Drosophila melanogaster: one gene and its partners. The gene in region 2 interacts genetically with the main gene of each other region. Each region holds a gene or a part of one and is shown on either strand. Other genes may lie near its edges.

The links. Genes that interact genetically often act in the same process or in processes that back each other up.
Region 1: of vari (region 2) and Sema1a, changing one enhances a phenotype caused by changing the other (phenotypic enhancement), as found in Drosophila melanogaster (one study listed by BioGRID).
Region 3: of vari (region 2) and pio, changing one enhances a phenotype caused by changing the other (phenotypic enhancement), as found in Drosophila melanogaster (one study listed by BioGRID).

The regions. Positions count from the first base shown.
Region 1 is NT_033779.5:8,540,370-8,545,202, reverse strand, and holds the start of Sema1a (semaphorin 1a), read right to left. Parts: upstream 3,057-4,833; 5' UTR 2,991-3,056; intron 1,991-2,990; exon of another isoform or gene 1,488-1,990; intron 660-1,487; 5' UTR 1-659. Other genes in the region: CG17834 (uncharacterized protein), read right to left, coding at 3,967-4,745. UniProt on the Drosophila melanogaster protein: Involved in growth cone guidance through its role in axonal repulsion. Function in neurons is essential for adult survival, motor neuron survival, and is important for climbing behavior and activity.
Region 2 is NT_033779.5:20,794,030-20,798,903, forward strand, and holds the start of vari (varicose), read right to left. Parts: upstream 3,014-4,874; 5' UTR 2,730-3,013; coding exon 2,624-2,729; intron 2,106-2,623; coding exon 2,008-2,105; intron 1,227-2,007; exon of another isoform or gene 979-1,226; intron 910-978; exon of another isoform or gene 777-909; intron 118-776; exon of another isoform or gene 31-117; intron 1-30.
Region 3 is NT_033778.4:24,579,656-24,584,300, reverse strand, and holds the start of pio (piopio), read right to left. Parts: upstream 3,057-4,645; 5' UTR 2,933-3,056; exon of another isoform or gene 2,461-2,932; 5' UTR 2,223-2,460; intron 1-2,222.

The DNA of each region.
Region 1 (4,833 bases), about 12 Mb from region 2:
TTCAAAAGTTGAAACTCCGTAGACGTTGGAATCCAAAATATTCTGAAGATTACGCAATTGATTAGTCCCAGCGAGTCCTGTTTATCGTTTGTTTGCTGACATTGATCGATTGATTGGGCTGTTGTTGTTGTTGTGGTTGTTCTGATAGCTCGATTATCGATTCGCACACACAGACTGGTGAATTGGAATTTTTTGATTCGCACCGATCGCTTGTCGTACTTAAACAAATTATAGACACTTACACGAGACAACACCGAAGAACACAAATTTGTTATATTTACTTTATACGCAGATTAATGCCAGCGGACGACGATGAATAATAGGATAACAGCAAGAACAACAACAACGATGCACGACGACGACGACGACAAATATTGTACATATGTACAGAGGATACAAGGACTCACGCACACAGATGCAGACGCAGATGCACGGGCGCGATAACGGTTATATCGGATATATGAATAGACGAAACGACGAACGGGGGGGCGGGGCGGTGCGGTGCAGGAGTCGAATTAACGCGACGGCGATTATCCCTTAACGGTACCGGTTCTTCATGCGATAAGTAGGCTACGGATGCGATTTCTGAGCATATTTTCTTGGTTTATTCTTTTTCTTTATTCAAATTTGCCTTATTCACTTTGTTTCTGGCTTAAATACTGTGGAAATGGGAGAAGGAAAACTGGATTAGATTTCAGTTTCCCAATCAAAAGTTATGGCCGCAGGAAGAGCTTATCTTGAACACAAATATCTGGCATGTAGGGCTTTTTGAATTAAAATTAATATTTGCTACGATATGAAACACGATTTGATGAAGAAATGATCAAGAAATATCAATTGAAACACTTTGTAATTCAACTTTTTTCCTGATAAATTTCTTATTATGACAACAGTACTTTAGTTTTCTTTTTTTGGTTGGCAACGCGCTGCGGAGAGATGCGAATGGGGGGCACAAGGCAGAGTCGAAAAACATTATGCGGGGGGTGCGTGAGTTTGAGGAAGAAGAATAAGAGAGTGCTGCTCTCTCCCACTCTTACTCTCACTCTCTCTGAGTCAATTTGAAACGCCGCGAGAATGAAATGCAGCGAAACGAATGGTGCACAAAACGTGGCCAGGAAAATAGAGAAATAAACAAAATATAAAAAGGATAATCCCAAAGAGAGAGGGAGGGTGGGTTAGCGAGAGCCAGGACCGTTTCATTCCCAAAACGTACCCAAAACAGAATACAAAAGCCTGGCTCTCCTTTCAACTCTCTCGCCCTCTTGCTCACACCCGCAGGATGGCGAAAAATCAATGAAAAATATGTGGAAAAATTGCCGAAATTGTATATTTTTGTGGATTCGCTCTGCTGCGGCCTAAACTTTGGGTGGAAACACAGTTTTCGTTATTTTCTTTTTCTAATGTGCCATAATATTCCAATTTTGTTGTGATTGCCAATTGCAATTGGGCAATTTTCGGCTTTATTATTGTTGCACACAAACACTCACACTAGCTCTCGATTGCACATGTTTCTAAATTGAGCAATTACCAATTTATTAATTAATGTACACAATGGACAAATCACTTTTCACAATTGCGCGACACAAAGGTAGCGGTGCTGGAATTTGTTTATCAACGCGAAAGAAACATTTATATCCTTGTCGAATATCCGGAAATTAACAAGAAAATATCTTGAAAAATAATATTTTACAAGAAACCAAATTTCGTTTTATGCAGCGTTTCTACCGGCGATTTATCCAATATTTTTGTTTATTTATTAATGCTGTTTTCAGATATTTTCCAACCGGAGCAACAACGCGCTGCAGCAGCGCGGGCGTTAAATTTTCGAATGAAAAGGGAACTCGCACGAAAGAGAGTTCAGTCTCAAATGGCACTTTCTCTGGCGCTAGGGCATTTTCCGCGCGTTAGTGCGTTTTCCAGCGCTGACTGCGAAGTCGCGAACGGTCACTTTTTCGGTTCTCTTTTTCTCTCTCCTCTCTTCTCTTAACAGCTGGTCAACAAACAATATGCAAATTAAAAAAAAAAACAATAAGGATAATTATTTTATTGACCTAAATATTAAACTAAGAGCGTGCTACTAAAAATTTATATAAAAATTGCAGGCCATAACACCATGTTATTTATATTACCGAATTTTATTGGAAAAAATGTTGTCTATGGCAAATTGAAAACATTAAAAAATATTAATAAATTTTTATCTAAAATTACTCAAACGATAAAATGCTTGAGCTCTTTTATTTGTTCACGCAAAATTGGAAAACACATACACGGTTAAGTTTCTTATTTCATAAACATATTAGTTTCTTGTGTCCTTTAGAAGGAACACGCTTAAAGAGAAATTTTAAAATGAGAGGCTCTCTTCAATAAGCCCTCTCCTCTCACTATTTCCTTTTCGTTGACTGAAACTCCCCCTCAATATAATCGGCCGCTTTAAACTCTTATTCTCCCTCGCGATACTTAAAATAATTAATTTAGTTATTCAAAAAAAATCAAGAATATTTTGAAAATTATGGAAAATACATAGTTTCAATTCAAATAGAAAATAGAAATAATGTTTGAAATTTCCGTCGTTCCGCTCTCAGTGGGCGCGGGTGAGACTGCGCCTGTCAAGGGCGTTTGTGTACGAATTTTGAATATCAACAATCTGAGGGCACGTGTAGAAAAAAATTTTTAAAAATTATATATTAGGAGAACACTTCTATAATCAGAAACCATATTTAGTCACCAAAAATAGTTCTTCTCGAATAATAAATACGTTTGGTACCTGGTACCTAATTGAAACCTGGCAGCTCTACACTCTTTTCCTATTAGGTTCTCTCTTAAAACGCGCTCTCTGTTTTGCCGGCCGTTTATATGTATTGCTTTATTTATAATTTACAATTTAACCAATTCACTTGGACACGCTTCTTATTCATATTTGTTTAATTCACAACTTAATAAATTATTAGGGCACTCTACGAAATATATTGTTTATGTTTTTATATGAGCACCTTGCAAATAAAACAACTAGAATGTTTTGTTGTACAAACAACACACACGCCAATACGAATGAAAACTGGTCGACTAGCGTTGCCATTGGGAATTTCTACAGCCAGTGCTACCATATTGGGTGGTAAGCTAAATGGGTCCGGCTTACAGTTACCCCTTAACAAAACTTATATACCCGTTGAAATGTGTTTCATTATATATCACTTCCAGGATGACCTAATTAAATATACATGTTTGACGTTTTTTTAAGCTATATGGTGCAATTTTTTATTTTAATTTGTTGGTCTGAAACATGTATTGCATTACTTAAATTTTGAAATTAAAAAATTAAAAAATTAAATTAATAAATTAAAACAATCAACAAAAAGTAATTTTTACATCTCTCCCCGACGGGGAATTGAACCCCGGTCTCCCGCGTGACAGGCGGGGATACTAACCACTATACTATCGAGGATGTTGTCTACCCACTGTCAAACAACCGTCTCGAGCTTGCACACTGTCTTCAGAGTACAAATGGGGAACAGATGAAATTGAAACAAGCATTCACACTCCGCAAACGGAAAACCCGAGTTTGACTCACTTTGTATAACATCCTCGATAGTATAGTGGTTAGTATCCCCGCCTGTCACGCGGGAGACCGGGGTTCAATTCCCCGTCGGGGAGATAAGTGCATTTTTTTTCAAGCTCGCATTTATTTCTTTTAAAATGGTACAAATAGATATCGTTTAGATTTTTATAAAGATTTATTAAGTAGGATCTTTAATCGCTGTTTTTTGTGGTAAAATACAATTTATTTTGTAATATCAATCATTAATTCAAAATGAAGTACATCTGAATACTGAGGAATTGTTTGGACAAGGTCATTGCTTAGAAGATAATACAGAAAACGCATAAGCAGGTACTAAAGGCTAATAAATTTAAAACATTAAAAACATGGACAAAGTGATTAACAAATAAATATGTATATCTGCAGTGCGACTAGTCAACCTGCTTGCCCTCGTCGCGATTTCGTTTGAAGGACACGGAATGAATAAGTAAGGGCGGTAGATTGCCACGCAGCATCTGGAGTCGTTTGCTCTTCTCCTTCTCTGGCCGTCGCAGTTCGTCCTTGGAGGACCCGGGCGAGGCAGAGGACGAGGCCATCGATGGCGACATGGAGGCCAGTGAACTGGCGCCGGGCAGCACCTCAGAGCTCTGGGTCAATAGCATGGCAGATCGACGGAAGTAGCGCGGCATGGAGTAATCATCCTGTGTGGCCCGAGCAGCATTCGCCGTTTGAATGGAATAGAGACTCTGCGATACCCGGTACTTCTCAATAGTGGGCGTGTCCTCGTAGTTCTTAGGCAGATTACTGAACGATATCGATGGCACCTCCGGCGTCATGCTGATCTGACTGCTTCCGGTCATCGTACCGCTAATGGAGAATATATCCGTCTCACTGGCCGACGAACGGACATTCATGTGCGGAACGCTCTTGGCGGATCGCAGGATCCGTTTGGGCGTGGTCGTCAGTCCACTGGGGTTGGCCAGCAGATGAGGATGCCGGTCGATGAGGCGAGGTCGCAGCACCACCTCCTCCATGATCTCCTCCTCCTCATCGGCCTTGTCGTCCTCCTTCTCCTCCTCGGCAATGGCCTCGAACTTTTTGGGAGTAAGTGTCGTTTGGCTACCCGACGGCGAGCATTCGGCCGAACTGGGAGCCAGGGTGAAGGTGATTCGCTTCTCGGTCGATCCTGTTCTCGCATCAGTGGCATCTCCTGCAAAAAGAAGATATACTCCGTTTAAAAAGTGTTCTGCATTTGCAAGTAACTAAACCCATATTATTTAGAGATATTGTCCTGATTT
Region 2 (4,874 bases):
CCTATACTACAGTCAGGCACCAATGCTCACTCATTCGAATGGGCCGAAACCAACGAAGCGCGCGTTTCAAACCGGAATGTGAACCTCACCTTAGCACTGTTCGCAACTAACTGACTCACGAGCTATGGAAGCAAGCGGCGAGAGCTAGTGAGCAAGTTAGGGCTAGCTTTGTTTGCTGCTCAGTTCGCTTGCCGCTGGCTTGCCGTGAAAAAAGCTCCGCGTGAGCCAAGTTACAACTGTACGCAGTCTGTTATCCACATGTTAGCTTGTACTTAACAGTGACTTAAAACCAGCAGTGACGCGCCCTCTCTTTCTGTTAATGAAAACCATTTGAAACTGTAGAAAACTTTTTAAAATACAAATATGTACATACTTGGGGTATATCTAAAATATAACAATAACCAACATTAAAATGTTCTGTTAAATGTTATACTGAAATTAAATAATCTGATCTTAGCTTTCCAAATATTATAATTCAAATGTTGCTGAAACATATTTATTTAACTAGCTTTATACTTTGTTCAGTAAAACAGAACCTTAAATAAGTAAGTTTGGCTATAACATGCTTTGCAATGTTTTTACCAACTACTTCAGTGATCTTAACAGCATCTTATAGCAAGCTTTTTCGATCTCCCGACCACAGCTGCATTAGTAGGCCAACGAGCTGGGCGCTTTTTGTGCATCGTTTTCGAGCGCAGGTAGCATAAAAAGCGTAGTGTTTACGTTGGAAAATGTTTCCAAACCGGTTTCCTTATTCACACTCAAATACACACAACTTCTTTGGGGCGTTGATGTCAAAGAGTTGGCACGGCGACTTGCGTCGAGTTTTATGTAATCTGCATAAAATGGGGGAGTGTTCCAAGGAGCGGTGACGACAGGCGAGTTGGGGAAAGGAAAACAGGGGAGCTGGTAGTGACATTTCATATTTTCTTATCTCGTGACTCGTGGCTTAATTACTTTCACTGCCTTTCTCAACAGCCGCCGACCACAGCAGAAAACCACAAACGAATGAGCCTGCCCAGGAAAATGCCTCGGAAAATGTTGGATTCTAATTATGGTCGTCGTCACACGATGTCGCTTTCCATAATATTTGTTGTATTTGGCTTTTCCGTACTGCTAGTTTGGGTCTTAATAATCATTGTTTTACGCCTATTTTTTACATACTATTTAATTCCCCACTTCTTTATTATTCGCCAACAGAATAACTTTACATCTTAGAAAGGGCATCTTCAATTTTGAAAATTAATTTTTAAAAATTAATTAAAATATTTTGTTATTTTTCTTGTATACAGAGCACAACAAATTCGTTTTAATTTTGGTTGTAACTGCCTCTCATTGTTTTTCTAGTTGACCTGCGTGTTTGCCGCAGGAACAGCAAATAATATTTACAATTTGATTAGGCTACAAACTTTTTGGCAGTTCTTTTACCGTAAGAAACCTTCGAGGAGGCGCTAAATGTGTCGGGTCAAGATAATTTCCACTTCAATGGTTATGTCACGATGATCTAATAAAATGCCTCCCATCTGCATAAAGGCAACTCATCTGCCGAGGCAATAGAGGTCAAGTTTAGTGCGAAAACTCAAAAGAGGAAGGCAAAAATAAAATAGCAAGTGCTAATGGGCCATTACGAAGTCAAAAAAAAAAAAAAAAACAATTGCAGTGCATGGCTAAAGCGAGAAAATCTTTTAAAATACAGAAGGATTTTCTTTTCTTTTTGGCGCTTGTGGAGGCAAGGAAAATGATGTAATAAGAAAAGCAAACACACGCACATACAAGCAGCCCGGAAAATTCTATCTAGACCGAAAAATCAGCATGCAATGCCATCGATGAAGTAAACACAAATGTGGAAAGTGTGTGCGTGTGTGTGGCTGGGTATGGAAAATGGGTGGAAAACCGTATGCGCAATTTTCTTATTGAGCAGATGCTCGAAGGCGTTTAAGTGGGTCAGAAATTGTACAGAGATATTTTCTCTCGCCTTTTTACGTTTATATGTTCTGGTCTACTTGCCATCAGTTCCTTGTGGGGCGTGTTGGAGTTACTACGCAGCAATCCCTTGAGGAAGATCTCATCGTGGTCGGATAGGTCAGTCGAGTTGCGAAAGGCGGCTAAAACGGAGCGAAAGTGTTTTAGATTAATCGCAGTCGTTAAATGACAATCGGAAACAGATGAAATGACATTCGTTTTGGCAGCTTAATGCTACCCTTTTCAATTCATACAATTCATACAATGATGGAATTCTAGAGGGAAATATTTAGATATACATGCATCTGATTTTTCGTTTTATAATCATATTCTTTGTTATCGATTTATTGTAAATACATTTAAAGACCGCATATCTTCAAACAGGTTTCAGATTATTCTTAGCTATGAGTACAAATCATTATATTTACTTCAAGCAGGCTTACTGAAATGCAACATAACTCTTGTCTCGTTTCACTTTTTGAATATGAATTGAAATATTTAGTTTGTAAATCTTTTAACTATTTAAACAACTGAAATCTTCAAAATTAAAACTTTATTAACAGAGCCTTAAAGGAAAAAGAAACAACAATAAAATGATAGTTTGGAATTTCGTATGAACTTCGCTTAAAATTCTCCTTTTGAGGACACCCCTGGCACGTACCGTTATCGGAGGTATCGTCCTCGCCATTCACTTTGTTGTTTCTGGCCAATAGCTCCACTTTATCCTGGCGAGCTTGGCGCCGCGACCGCGCGCTCCACCGAACCATTTTGAAGGAACTGGGAGGTGGCCAAAATAACAGACCGAATGAAGTAACCCCGGAGGACAGTCTCGTATTTCGGCCAAAAAAGGGTTATAACCCTTGTGTTTTTTTTCTTAGCCAGCCATATGCTTAGCTACTTGAACAGAACATGTCTTCCAGTGATAATCACTTGTTGTTATTGTTATAAACACAACGCCACGCAAACAACAAAAACAATAGCGCGGCTAAGAATTTCACTCCTCCAACAGCGCAAAAACAACCGACTTGTTTGTGAGAAAGAGGCTAACTAAACTGAAAACCGCTTTTGTTGCAGGTGATGCCAAAATCAAAGCTCCTTAAAACGAGAAAGCTTTTGCAGACAAAAAGTCAAATAACGTGTGCCTATCGGTTTTTAAATATTGTGCTTATCGGCGCCACTTCTTTGTTGGGTCGGTACGGTAAATGTACTTTATGTACGGAGTTCGAAAGCCTGTCATAAAAATGCATTCCACTGTTCTCAGGCCATTTAAATTTAATATTGTTTATTATCTTTAATTTTGCTTGTGATTGCTTTTTCTATAGCTATAACATAGCTAAAAATGGATGGCTTGGGAATCGCTGATGGTTTGTGCCATTGATAAACCGTGCGTTAATATTATAAAAAATTTACTTCGATTTGTACATAAATATGTACTCTAAACTGGACGACCAATAAATGTTCGTTCATATGCCAATTAGAAATCAATTTAATTAAATAGTCTTTAAATTGCTTATGGAACTTTATTTATGCCTTAACAAAACTCTGGGATGCAACAAACTTCGTTACTTCAATAAATATGCAATATTTTATTTCTATTAATCGAAAGGGTAATAGACGTCGACTTGCCATAGATGAAAAAACATCGTTTCTCGCTTGCGGTATTTTTCGAAGTTTCAGCATGCTTCGGTATTTTTCGGCTGAAACGATGCGACAGCTCTTGTTTTCATTCCGTTTTGAGCAGCGTGCGCGTACGGTGCTTTCCTCGCATGAAGAGTAAAAACAAATTAAATACCACTGTGGAATAACATCTCAGCGAACGAGTATACGTCGGAAACCGATTTGTCGCGCTAAGTAACACGAGATGCTTTTGGGATTCAAAAAAACCCATATTTATGTGATGATATATTAATGTAAACCCACTGTTTCGTTTACATTTTCGTTTTTGAATGACTGGCTGCGGAAATAACTATAGATTCGCGAAAGTACACTAAATCAGGCAGTAAAATCGGATTGGCAATCTTGGGAAAAAATCGAAGGAAAAGAGACGCCAGCAGCTTCCTCGGATTGTTTTGTTGTTTTCAGTTCGTTAGTGTGTGGCCGTTTTTCCGCCTGTGTTTGTGCAACAAAGTCAAAGTCGTCGAAGCTGCTGCAAAAATACGTGAAATGCAAATTGTGAAAAAGTTGCAAAAGCAACAACAGCAACTAGCAACAACCAACAACAACGCAACGACAACTATAACCGCAATCACACGGCCAACGCAACAATAACAACGGCCACAACAAAACGGCTTCGCGTGTTTTGAAAAATTGCATTGCAAATTAGTAATTAGCAACAACTAAAACAATAGCAATAAAAAAAAGGAAAATTGCGCGCCAAAATCGAAAGAAACAAAAGGATTACACATAAACAAACCGAAGAAGCAGAAGCAGCTGAGCGAAAGAGAGAGATAGCGAAAAATCAAAACAGAACAGGCAGAAATTCCTGTTTATCCACCTTCACCTCCGGCGACACCCCCCGTCGTGGTGAGTTACTTGTCTTTCGGTATTTGTGCCTTGTATCTTTCTTTTTGGTTCTTGTTTTATCCTCCGTCCGATTTGCTGTATGTCCTGCTGTAAAAAAAATTCGCCAAAAGTGCAAAAGTCAAGGCCCCCGTTTGATTCGCGCCCCTTTGACCATTGTGCGCAAGAAACCCGCAAATGTGCAAAAAATTTAGCTCAGCCATCGAGAGTCCTTGATTTTAGAGGCACAGTGGTTAAATGAGTGCCAAATGGTCGGCATGGTAACAGAAGTTTATTACATTTTTCTATTCTTAAACTGTTTCTTTATATAAACCTCATAAATAAACGCAGTTTTTAAATATATAAATGCCCAGATACGTTTTGAATTGTTTTATATTGAATGCCCTTTGATA
Region 3 (4,645 bases), on a different chromosome or scaffold from region 2:
CGGCTCAGTACTTAAGTAACTAACTTTTGAGGAGGATTTCCTCTAAACCATAAATAGTCTCGTACTTGAAGTTAATGAGCGTAGAACTTCACTGAGATAAATCACTTGTAGTGTCATAAATGCTAAACTTAGACATTGATATCATAGACGATCGCTACTATATTACAATAATTTATTTATCTTATATCTTAGTGTCTGAGAACTTAACACACCAAGTATTGGCCACAGTTCTGTGCCCACTTCCTTCGAGCACAGTCCGCAGTTCAAAAGTCTTGGCCTGCCACTCCCCTTTTAAGGCTTGGATTTGAAAGTGTTTGGAATGAATTGAACAACCTCGTGGTCGGTCGACTGCAGTCGCGGGGTTTTGCGTGGGGTTGATCTAAGGTAAAAGCCTGCATTTAAGTCCGCTTGAGTTTGCCAATGTTGGTTTAATTCGCCAGTGGTGGTGGAGGAGGCTGGAGAGTGGGGGATCAACTAGCCAGACGACTTTTCATTTTGGCCGAAAACAAACAAGCAACCCAATGCAGAGTGTCCGTTTAACGGGGGGCAAGCGAAGCTTGTGACTCACGGCTGGGTTTGGGGCACGCCTTTCGCTAGCATTTGGGTTTTTGCATAATTAGTGCTGAGCGCCAACGTGTCGTATGAGTAATGCAGTCGCGAAGTTCGTTGCCTAAGTCTTTCGTTTCAACTGTAAATCAATACCAACGAGCAGGCGGAAATCTAACGCTGAAAAGGTCTTGGCCTGGTTGAATGACCTCACCATTTTTGGCGCTTTCTTTGTTAGTTCTTCCGCGGGAGATTATAAATCAATCACACAGCTTTTGGCAATCAAGCCCACACGCATTTCTCGGCTTAGTTCATAAACCCCCAAAAATCCGTCATATGTCTTCACTTCTCTCACTTAGCTGAGCACACACATCGCCAGGCAGCAAAATAATACGAAATTATACGTACAATCATATTTTCCGTCTTTACCTTATTTTGTGCCCGCTTCAAGGTCACTGCGAGTTGTTGTCTGGCTGTTATATAAACAAGTTAACTACACGATGGCTCAGAAACTGGTATTCGAGCAGCTCGGGCGCAGATTCGCCTTTTAATTATACAAATTTTACGCTTGCGTTGGCGTTCCTCGACGCAAAGCTTTCCGAGAATGCCGGAGAACTTGGAAATATCCAACAGAAGTTGGAGATAAACGCCTTTGGCGGATGAGCCATTATTCACTAGTCAAGGCGTTGTATTCAACGCAGATGAAGACCATTACATTGGCCAACTACAATATTTTGATGGCTAACAAACCACAAATTAACCAATTAATAGGCCATGCATCACCGAAAAGGGAAAGGCCGTGCATCACATTCCCATAGTCCAAAGATGATGCAAGTGTCGGATCGGGATGGGTTCGGGGTTCATCTCTCCATCAATCAACATTTCTAATTGCTTCTTTAGACGCCAACCCGAACACAATGGAACGAACATAATTATGGCTGTGTGATCCGTGGAAGTGCTAAAAGTTCCACAAGGAGAAGAACCCGGTCTCAGCTCATGTGGGTAATGTTGGGTCAGCCAATTAGCAACAGATTCTGGCTTATAATGGCCGCACACGGAGTGGGGGTAAATGTGAATGGACCTTTGATTCCAAGAGCCCGATGACACATTACTTATGCGGTGCGCATCCAGAAATGGGCATTGAAAAACGGGAAAGAAGGCAGGAAAAGCGGATGGAAGACGGATGTCCGTGATGTGGCTACTCAAATAGCCAATTGCCGATGGCCAACCCCATCGCGGCCATATTTGTGTCCCCAGATGATGCAACTGGCTGCGAACTTGGCAGCCAACATCGGCCACTGGCAACCTTGGCAAACAGGTTCAGATCCCCGGACAGATGGCTTCTCAGGCCGCTTTTCAGATAAGGCCCATTTCATTTGCACAGAAAACAGATTGCAACGCTTCTTCAATTTGTTCCCCCGAGTACAAGTATTGGTATTCCGTGAATTCCGAATTTCGAGCGAGGCGAAGTGAAGCCAACCGGTTTGGCTGATGGATTTTTGGCACATCCACAGCGTCGGCGATTTATGAAGTCATCTTTTAAGGCTGTTTTGGGTTTGTTTTTGCAAACGGCACAGCTTTGATTTTCTGCCTGATTTTAACTGTTTCTTTTTGCGGGTTTCGGGTTTCTGGTTATTCGATTATGGCTTTTCAAACAGCAACTCCGCAACACTCACCTCTAGCCAACTTCGCCCTTTTTGCGTAATCCAATTTGTTATGTGTCCGTTGTTGCGATTTCGCTGTGCCTTAAACTGGTTGCCCGGAACGATGATGATTTTAGATATTTTCACGAATTTTGGTTTCACATTAGTTTGATTTTGTTTTTATGTACTTCCTAAGTGTTTTTTTTTTTTTTTGCGGGCTTCCTCTATAATTATTTCGTTTTGTGGCCAACACTCGTTTTACATGTTAACGCTGCGGGAATTGCACATTTAAGAGTTGGCCAAGAGTGGTAAAGAGACGCTAAGAGCTGCTCTTTGTGCGAATTGTGGCAAATAATCCGAGCTGTTGTTGTTGCTGCTGCTGCTGCTGCTATTACGCCGTCTCAACACAAAAGACTGAGGCAACAAACTTCCCGACACTTTTGCACTTCCCCAGAAAACAACGCGAAATATTCAAAAGATTCACAAATCATTCAGCACGTATTTACTGGCCCGGTTCAACCACCCGTCGAGCTTAATCGCTTCCCAAGGGCAACAACAATCAGAGAAAATCACGACAGAAACATCACAGGCACAACAGCAACAACCGCAACTATTTCAAATCTCGGAAACCCATGAACGTCTCTTGGAGCCACGGAAAGCCGTTTCAAATCCACACGCACGATCCAATTAGAACCGGGTAAACGGAGCCATAACCGCAGAGCTACGCCACTCGAAAAACTCACGCACGATTCGGGATCGAAACGAATCGGAATAGCAATCGAAATCGAAGCGATGGGATCGATGGGATAGAGGTTCGTTGAGCGCTGTGGATGTGTCTCGCACACCGACCTGGCCAAGACTGACTGGGCCCGAAACCGAGCCACTCGCACTCCGACGAAAACGCCAAGACGATGGCCGACAACCGGTCTTGCCAAGATTCGGAGTGGCGGCGCTCTGGGATTTTCGGAGCAATTGGCAAGTCTATGTGCGCTCTTCCGACGATCTCTTCACTAAGGCATAGTATAGTATCGCCTCAATTGGCGGTGGCCGCGGTGTCGCTGCCAGTTTTACAGCAGCAACACGTCGTCCAGCTGAGCTGCACTTGATGACCGGCGGGACTGGCGGCCACGCTCCGCTGGCTCCCTTTAATACACCTACGGCTGCGGGTCCAGATTGTCTTTCTAATGAGTGCGGCATAATTAGAGGGTCGGGCGGCGGTCATCCCATATCGCAAGTGTGCACATAGAGAAACATTGGGCTGGAAACCTCAACAAAAAACCCTATATTCCCTAGCTAAGGTTTTTTTAAATTTAAATATTTTTTGCCATATTCTTTAATGTTTGTTTGTGATTAAAATTTATAAAAATGCTTTGATTCGAAGCACTCTAGACTAAGTTTCCAAGTATCCAGGTGGTATCCAAGTGTCTTTGGAGCGCCTCCAGGCCAACGTCATGCTTTCGGCCACAGCTGTGCGCTCGCAACTGGAAGTCAGGTTCTGCTCAAACTTGGCAGCAGATCGGTGCAATTATGGCCAGTGTGTGGGCTGTCACCAGAACACCTTGATGACGGCATATATGGCCACTGGTGGGGCTGACTGCTTGGACTGACGAGGCTTCTCTGTGGGACACATGCTGCTCTTCTTTTGTTTTACTCGGTAGGCACATAAATCTTGAACTTGTCTCTACATTCTGTGAACCCAGCGCCCTTGCAACCTCGAGATCCCAGGTGCGAGTACAGGTAGCTGTGACACCTCGGAGACCCCGAGTTGTTGTTACTTTCTGCCGTATTTCCCTTGAAGCTGCCCGTCGCTGTTTATACTTTAGTTCTATCAATATTTATTATTATTATGCGTGTTCCTCTGTTTCGGTTATACATGTGTGGGGAAAACTTGGATGAAGTGGACGAATTATTCTTTTGAGACGTGAGAGAATTCTACAAGGACTGGGATGGGTAAATCCCTCACCATTTGGCATTATAGGTACTTTACACAAATAAAATATAAGCATATATTTATGAGTGGAAATTTTTTAAATAATTTAAAATGTATTATTTATTTATTATATATTTATGTTAAAATAGTTAAGCAAGCTCTTAAGAGCATGGCCTGCCCACCTTATTGACTATAAATAAATTTAAATAAAAAATTTTCCAACTCCTCAATCCGTCGAAAAGGGGAAGTCCAAGCGACAGTCGTCGGGGGGACAATCGAACAAACCGAAAACCACCCCATTGAACAGCAACAGGACATGGAGTTCCGGAGGGACCAGGCCGATTCCCAAAAGGCGGCCGGGGGATTCAGGACTACGTAGCCGGGGTAACTGTCACTGTTTGGCGTCCGGAAAATTTATTAACTCCAGCCGAATTTATAGTATTAACCTTGATATAGCCGTGTGGAGCTACTAGCAAATTAAATCTGAGAAAAATTCAATGTGTGTAGATTGTCCAGGTCTTTTATC